2 linked regions of the Coturnix japonica genome follow. The protein of the gene in region 2 binds, or shares a complex with, the protein of the main gene of each other region. Links are inferred from orthologs where the notes say so. Each region holds a gene or a part of one and is shown on either strand. Other genes may lie near its edges.

Region 1 (4,601 bases), on a different chromosome or scaffold from region 2:
CACATAGAAAACAATGGGGGCTGCGGTGCCTTGGGGATGGGAGAACCCGGATCTCTTCCTGCAGCAAGAGAGGTGGAGGCACCTGCTCCATCCCGTGCTCTTGGGGTTAGCTCAGCCACCAGGAGCCCCACTGCCTATGGAGCAATCACATGGGGATGGGGATGCTCCAGATGTGTGCTGGGAGCTGGTGCTGCTGCCAGCAGGGCTGCTTTTGGGATGCTCCACACCATGATCCCTGGGCATGATCACCTGGAGACGGGGCTCCCAGGGCAGCTACAGCAGGATGGGAACTAACAGTGCACCAGCAGGAGGTTGGGTTTGGGGGACGTGCAGGGTGAGACAGGAACTGCTTCTACTTTCAGCATGAGAACCCTCTGTGGAACCCCGTGGTGTTCAGTAGTGAGGGTGAAACCTCCTGGGGCTGCCCGCATAGCACTGAGGATGCCACTGTGGTTTGTGGCTGCTTTTTGTTCTCGGCTTTGTTCTGCACCTACAAACCTTCAGCTGGGGGTGAAAACACAGCTAACACAGCTGTCCTCTGCCTGTGCCTCCATGGGGACTGAGCATCCCCATCCCTGCAGCACTGCCACCTCCCAGCACAGCTTCTGCAGGTGACATCCCCTCCATCAGCCCTGGGAGATGCTCGGCCCTTGCTTCACCTCTCCATGCCCTGCTCCTTTAGTGCCTGAGTGAGCCCAAACCCACACCCAGCAAAACCCACGAAGTGCCACGTGCCGTCCATATGTGGCACCCCAAAGGTGGTGGCAGCAGTGCAGGCAACCAGCTCCCAGCCGTGCCCATTCCCCTGTGCTTGGGGAAGGCTGAGCGCAAGCACCACGTCCAGCAGCTGGTGCTCGAGCCGGGGAGAGAGGCAGGTTGCTGGGAAACATCCCTCTTGAGCACCCGATAAAAATAGCTCCGTCTTCAAGGCGAGAGGGCAGGCTGCGCTGCAGCCAGTGGGGCAGTGGGGATGGGATGGGGATGGGGATGGAATGGGGGCAGAGTGCCTTGGTCTGGTGTGTAGGCACTGGGGCTGTCAGGATGCAGTGCTGATGGGGCTCTGTGGTTCATGGGCTGGGGGTTCCCCAGCACTGTCCATCCCCAAATTGGGCTTAGAGATATGTGCCCAGGGTATGGGGCTAAGCAGAGGGTGTAGGAGCTCCCTGCCTCCCACCACCACTCTCCCCCAGCCCTTTTGGATTCGCTTCTTTGAGTTTGCCCCCAGGAGGAGTTTGGGTTTGCCCCTTGCCCTTTGTGTGGCCTCCATCCTCTCCCCAGCTTCAACACAGGGCTGGGGCTTCTCCCAAGCTGGGAGCATGAGGCTGGGGGCTCCCCATCTCCCCCACCTCGGGCAGGGCTCGCATTCAGCACCCAGCAGCTAAGAGAGACCCCCACCCACTGCCCGTGCCGAGGACCCCAACGGGGTAGCAGCAACCAGGGGGCAACCTGGAGCGCTCACACCCAATCCCTGGGGGCTGCAGCGACGGAGCCCACCAGGGCTGTGTCGGGGATGCTGCGGGGCTGATTATTCACAGCTTTCCTCGCCCCGATTGGCTCCGCAGCGCTGAGCGGTGTGGGGCCCCGCCGCAGGAGGAGACTCGGTGGCCATAAAAGCTGGCGGGCGGGCGGCGGGCGGTGAGTTACGGTGCGCACCCAGCGTGGCCCATGCCCAGCTCAGCCTGACCTGAGAGCGCAGCACAGCGGGACGGGGCGCACAGCAGGTAGGGTCGGGGTGCATGGATTTGGGGTTCCCTTCCCTTTACCCGCACGCACCTTGATGCTGGGCATCACTGCTGCTCGAGGGACTGTGACTCAGTTTGTTTCTAAGCGTCCCCGAGCTGCCGTGCTGGGAGCGTCTCACACTTTACTCGTTGCTTTATTGCTTTATTTCAAGACTCACACGTTCGCTGCAGGTGCCCCACTCATCCCCTGGTGGTTTCGCAGCATCGCTTTGCTGGGGCTTGGGGTGATACTGGTGCCATGGCTGTGTGCTCATATGGAGACAGCGCAACCCCAGAGCAAAGCTGAGCTCAGGGGGAGGGCAGGGGGAATGGGGTGGGTGATGGCACAGTGCTGGGTGTGCCGTGATGGTGGTCGAAAGGTCATGTAAGGAGTGGAAAGAGCTGCTGGGAGCGGGCTCTGCTCCTCCACAAGTGTCTGTGTGTCTCAAACTGCCTGGGAGAAACACCTGCAGCTTGGGTGTCTGCACTGCGAGGTGACATCTCAGTGTAGAAATGCTCAGAGATGCAGCGGGTGATGGCTGGGAGCAAAGCCCTCCATGGCCGTGCTGTGCTCTGTCACCTGCTGCACACTCAGGGCTGTTCTCCATCCCTCTGTGCTGGTGCAGCCGGGGTTGGAACCCAGAGCTGTGGTGCACAGACACACCTGGGGCTGTCCTGTGTGTTGGCACCAAAAACCTGAACAGAAAAAGGGGCAGAGAAGGAGTGGCCACGCAGCAAACACAGGACGCAGGGAGGAACCCAGAGCTGCCCTGGTCCCTTGCAGCTCTGCTGTGACCATGCAGACTCATTCCCCAGGATGGATGTTCCAGGCAGAGCTCACCTCAGGGTGCTCCAGGTCTCACGGTCCCACACTCCAAACCCATTATTCTTCCTCTTCCCTTTGTCTGTCCCCTTTTTGAGCATCTCTTTTCACTTTCCTCCAAGCCCTGCTTTACCTCCCCTTTCCCTGCCCTGCTCTCTCCATCTTTACTGAGGTACGTTCACATTGGGTGCATGGAGCACTGCAGGGCTGCAGCTTCCAGGCACAATAGCACAGCCAGCATTTACCTTAGCAGCAGGTGAGTCCTCTCTCCTCGCTCGGAGCCATTGAGATGAGCAGGGGCTGTCAGTGCTGCTGTGCCCATGTCTGTGCCCATCCCAAGGTGATGCACTCGGGTTATGTGGTGCAGCTGAAGAATGCAGATTTCTCGACACACTATGGTGCAGATTATTCAAATTCAAATTTAATTTAGCACGAATTAATACTGTGGCATTAACAATTCTTCATCAGCTCCAATTAGAGTACATTAGCAGACAGCGCTGAAGAATACAATAGTCTCTAATATGCGTCATTAACGTGTAACTGATCCCTCTGGGTCATGCCTTCCCACCTTGGATTGAAGTAGGCGCAGAGGCAGTGGGATGCTGTTGGGTCGGCTCTTGCTCCTGGGATTGGTGGCACTGCGGCCCTTGGGTTCTGCAGGTGTTGCTCAGGGTTCTGGTGCCCCACTCCATCCCCCTGCACAGTGTATGCAGCCCTCCTGGCCTCGTGCAGGGCTCTCGGAGCCTGGAGGATGGTGGTTGCAGCCAGCAGGTAGGAATAAGCCTGAGATCAGCGTTCTCCCCCTCCCCACGCAGATGCAGCAGGTGGGATGAGGGATGCAGGGGACACAGCATGGGGCGAGGCTGTGCTGGAGGTGGGTGACCTGTTGCTTCAGTGCTACCCTGCATCCTGTCTCCTTCTGCTAGCAGCTCTATGTCTTAGCACTATTCTTTCCCAAGGCCAAGGGGAGGGCTGATTCATCCCCTCTGTGCCATGCAAACGTGCGATCGCAATATTGCAGAGAGATGTGATGCTGGAAGGAACGAGAGACTGCCTGCAAATGGTACGTGCTGGGTGGTGGGAGGGCTGGGATGGGGCTTTGGTCCTTGTGCGTGAACCCACACGGGGTCAGTGTCCTGCAGCATCCCTTGGGTCGCTCCCAAATCCCAGAGGTAAGTCAGGTGGGTGCAGGCACAGCTCCCCAGGAGCAGGCAGAGGAGGTAGGTACCTGCTGCCCACCGACGGGCTCTGGGCATGGGCAGATGTTGTCTCCCAGCTCTGTGTTCAGATGGGTGATGCTGTCTGTACTCTCACCCTCCCCAGGCAGCGGGGCATGATGGCACAGCAGGTGCTGGCGCTGGTTCTCTGCCTCTCCCTGGCTGCAACAGCTTCTGCCGACTGTGCAACCCAGTGCTCCCTCTGTACCAACCAGGCACGTGGCACCGAGAGCAGCATCCAGCCCCTGGTGAGTGTTGGCCCCGAGCAGCCCCCAGCATTCAGCACTGAGGTACAACAGCAGGGACAGCTCGGGGATGACACAGGGTGGTGGTGCATGGTCTGTGGGTTGCTGTCACTGGCACCCAGAGGTTCTAGGAAGGCACAAAGTTTGGCTCCTTGTGAGCTTGGCAGCATGAATCCAGGGGATGGGATGGCGACAGATGGGGTGGTGGTACCTGATTGCTGGGTGATGCTGGTGGTGCCATGGCTGCTGTCTTGCAGATGTGCCTGTGGCAGTGCCAGGGCTCCTCTCCGCCCGGTGCTGAGTGGGAGAGCTGCAGGAAGGCGCTGGCACTCCTGGCCCCGTTGGTGGCCCTGGCTGAGGGGACAGAAGGAACAGACCCATCCCCAGCAGAGGTGGAGGATGAGGCAGAGCCAGAGCAGGATCCCAGCCCTGAAGAGCTGCCGCTGGCACCAGCCAAACGCTACGGAGGCTTCATGAAGAAGCTGGCCAAGGGGAGGCTGCTGTCCCTGCTGCGTGACAACACCCACAGCAAGGGCAGCCTCAGCAAGAAGTCAGGGGGCTTCAGCCACAACCCAGGGGAGCGGGCAGCCCCTGA
Region 2 (3,811 bases):
AGTACTGGTATACCAGTATACCAAATAAGTACAAATAAGCACTAATATAACATTAAATTTAATGTATACAAAAATAAAAATAAAATATAAGCATAAGTATACTCTGAAAAGTTTAAAAGAAAGCATTAGTATAATTGATTCAGTTTTAATTTTGGAAACATTTTTAATAAGAACATTCTCAAAAGAAATTCTTTATCTCCTTCACAGAAAAAAAATACAGCAATGCTTGCTACATTTTATTTAATTTCATAAATGACAGTGATATTCCAGCAGCCCAAATTATCAAAAATAAATGTAATGGCTGTTTTAGATGTCATAGAAATTTACTTTATTAAAAAAAATAAATCTTATCCTAAATTAATAAAGTTGTCTTTCCCAATGACACGGATGCCACATGGAATCCTTTTACTTCTTTGTGGTTTACATCAATGACCAATAAATATCCCTGTCAGAGACACAATATCATGATCATCTTCAGGTGTTTGGGGAAAGAATAAAACCCAGGGTTCTTCTGGGGTACTTCTTTCCTGAAGTTCAGAACTAGGTATAGCAGTACAGTGTCATAAAATAAGCATTTAAGATTTATAGTGCTTTGTCCACTCTGAAGCCAATGTATCAATATATTTTAAGAAAACGTCACTTCAGATGGCACTTTGGTATAAAGATTTATTAAAATATTTGATAATCTACCACTTAAGATTCATCTCAATCCTTGTACAGGATATTTATTTCTATTAGATATCTTAGTAACATCTCAACTGAGTTGTCACGTTGGTGCCCTTTCTTTTCTAAAGCAAATGCTTCTTCAGCAATAAAGGCTCCATTAAGTCCAGAGAGGAAAAATTTATACAGATATAAGGAAAATGAATCTGGAAGGACACTCCAGGGAGAAATCCTGCACTGTGAGAGTAAAAAGGACTAATTGAGCATGGTCTTGAATCTTTAAATATAGTCAGTTTCTGTTTGATGTTGATTTGTTTAAATCCAAAGCAAACAGAGGCCCCATAGCATATAAATGGCAGCTACTGTTACCAATGTAAAATAAAGTTTCTGTCCTGAGCTCCAGCTGTCAGGAGGATCCCCTTTGCCTCAGCACAAGTTCACTTCATGAACACACCAGAAAATATAACTGGTAGTAAATGCTCAAGAGGCACTGTAGATCAGACATGCAGGGATGAATAGTAGGGACTGACAAACAGTTACCGATGATTTCCAACCTCATTTGGCCCAGCTGTATCTCTAATAGCTACTTCAGGAGGAAAAGATATCTACCTGCCACAAGGTGTGAAAAAGGCATTTAATTGTTTCTGTGTTTGGAAGTGATTTTTTCCTGAGCTGCACATGGCTTTATAGGGCCTGAAAGAACTTGATAGGGAAGAAGAGTTACAGCACTGCAAACTGGGAGGCTTGAACTCCCAGATGTCCAAAAGATGTTTCCAGAGACACTCTCCCCTCACACACCTACTGTAAGACTAACAGGGAAATAAATAAATAAATAGATAAATAAATAAAATAAAATAAAATAAAAATTTGAATATCCTCAATCAAATAAAACAGCCCTTGAGCAGCTGTTTTATTGATGAACACCATTGTTTCGTTTGCACTTATCTATGCCAAACTGTTAAACACACCACATTAATTTTCTCTCCCAGATAAAACTGTGCCCTTACATAAAGTTTACCAGTTCTCCGGGGAGGAGTGAAAACTTCCTAGTGGAAAAGGCAGCTAAATGAGCAACTTGTTAAACACCCCAGACAACACTACTACTAAATAAATATGTATGCCTTGTATTTTGTGAAGCCAAACATAACAGGATGTCATCAACACCAGGACATACGTTAAAGGTTTTGAGCTTTTTGAAGACACAGTGTTGCACCCACATTGCTGGTACACCTGTTGGTATGAAGAATATATATCTGCCCTTCTCAAGGATTTCAGAATAAGATTAACTCTGTAGCAGAACAGATTTAGTAATGAGTCACTGGATATAGGGGCTAAATCTGCAGTCCTTCACAGATTATAAATTTTAAGTAGAGTCTACAGGTGCTCCATGGACAAATTGATTGACTTTATTTTCTTGTAGTTTCTTCCCTGCCATGCTCTGCATTCTTGGTTCGTCAACGGATGCTTATTCTCAGCCTTTTTCAAGTCTACATACATGTCCTCAACTCCTTTTTAAATAAGAATTTCTGACACTGTGATTTTCTTAGCATTTATCTTACCTTTTTTTTTCTCTTCTTCTACTGTCTTTCTTCCTTTTTTCACAAGATCCTTAAGTTCTGTGAAATGACTGCTGACAAAAAGCTCCCAAGCTTTAACATTAATGCTGATGAGAAGCAATCTAGTTTCTGCTCTTGAAACTTCATCAGAACTACTCTCACAATGCCTATAAAAAGAACTCTAAGCCTACATTTCAAGTTTCATCTGGTCTTTGAACCATGTTCAAATTCCTGACCATCTCCCCCTGCTGTCTGTTGTTATTTTCTTATGGTCTCAGTCTAGCACAAATAGTGCTTTAAAGTACTTTTGATTCTTTAAGTTGTCAAGGACATCTGAGCTTAAATTATTTATATGTCATATTTAGAAATGTCAGAAATTTAGGTATACTTATTGAAACAAGGAATGTGAATGATCTTCTAAGTGTAAAATATGCACAAATTACTGAAGTCAAAATCAATCAACTGTAGTCAGTATTCCAAGCAATGTGTCAAATAAAATAAAGTCTCAGGTTTGAATTCTCACACTCACCTTCCCTGACTTTGGTGCCTCCAAGAACTATGGCAGATATGCCAACAGACGAGGACAGCAGCCAGATACAGATGTTGATTATCTTTGCCTTGAGAGGAGTACGGAAGTCCAGAGCCTTCACAGGGTGACATACAGCAATGTATCTATCAACACTCATCATGGTCAGTGTGAATATGCTGGTAAACATGTTATAATAGTCAATTGAAATAACTATTTTACACAGCACATCCCCAAATGGCCAAGAGTTCATCAGGTACTCTGTGCTTTGGAAAGGCATAGTCGTGGTAACCAGTGCATCTGCCATAGCCAGATTGAAAATGTAGATGTTGGTTGCTGTCTTCATCTTTGTATATCTGAAAGACAAAAAAGTACGGTTTATGTGACTATGTTCAAGTATGTAACAATTTTTCAGCCAGTCTGCTGTTGTTATTTTTTTTGCTATCATTTCAGATTTTTGACAGAAATGCACATATTCAGGACCCTTGAATTAACAGTAAACACCCTTCTCTCAGTCCCTCAGCAGCTACATTATGAGTTACAGCTACCCACTACATGTAAAACCAGATAATGAATAAATTAAACCTAAATATTCAAATACAGATTTCCACGCTATCTTCTCAAATACATCTACAAACAAATATCATTGTTACATTTGCAAGTGACAAAATTGTTCTGTGTTTCCTTCTCTTGTTGCTGTCAGTGGTTACAAATTTTCTGAGTTTGTTTTGTAGGAGCAATAGGTATTTCATTCCCCTAGAGGAATATCTGTTAATAGTTACATTTGCTGGGCCAGACTGCCATCTTGTATCAGTTCTAGAAGTTTCTCTTCTTTGCTCCTACATTTCCAATTTCTCTTCCTTTCTTATCTCCAGCTTTTTCCAGTCTCCTCTACCGTGATTTCTAATATAAAGTATGATAATTATTGAAGTATGATATCTCAGTGGAAAAAACAAAAACAAAAACAAAACAAAAAAAAAACCAAAAACAAAAAAACATGATAGCAATGTTTTCTCTGCATCCTTTAATTTCATCAAAACAAAGCATTTGTTTTTTTCATGTGGCA

Evidence for each region.
Region 1: the proteins of OPRK1 (region 2) and PDYN are in contact, whole or in part, in a cryo-EM structure (PDB 8F7W), measured with the Homo sapiens proteins. The link is inferred for Coturnix japonica from reciprocal best matches to the Homo sapiens genes OPRK1 and PDYN. Residues at the interface, in NP_000903.2 of Homo sapiens: Thr111, Gln115, Trp124, Val134, Ile135, Asp138, Tyr139, Met142, Lys200, Glu209, Cys210, Asp216, Tyr219, Lys227, Val230, Phe293, Ile294, Glu297, His304, Ala308, Leu309, Tyr312, Tyr313, Ile316, Tyr320; in NP_001177821.1 of Homo sapiens: Tyr207, Gly208, Gly209, Phe210, Leu211, Arg212, Arg213, Ile214.

The regions. Positions count from the first base shown.
Region 1 is NC_029535.1:9,245,503-9,250,103, reverse strand, and holds the start of PDYN (proenkephalin-B), read left to right. Parts: upstream 1-1,593; 5' UTR 1,594-1,721; intron 1,722-3,867; 5' UTR 3,868-3,877; coding exon 3,878-4,009; intron 4,010-4,263; coding exon 4,264-4,601.
Region 2 is NC_029517.1:99,604,170-99,607,980, forward strand, and holds part of OPRK1 (kappa-type opioid receptor), read right to left. Parts: intron 3,102-3,811; coding exon 2,749-3,101; intron 1-2,748. UniProt on the Homo sapiens protein: G-protein coupled opioid receptor that functions as a receptor for endogenous alpha-neoendorphins and dynorphins, but has low affinity for beta-endorphins.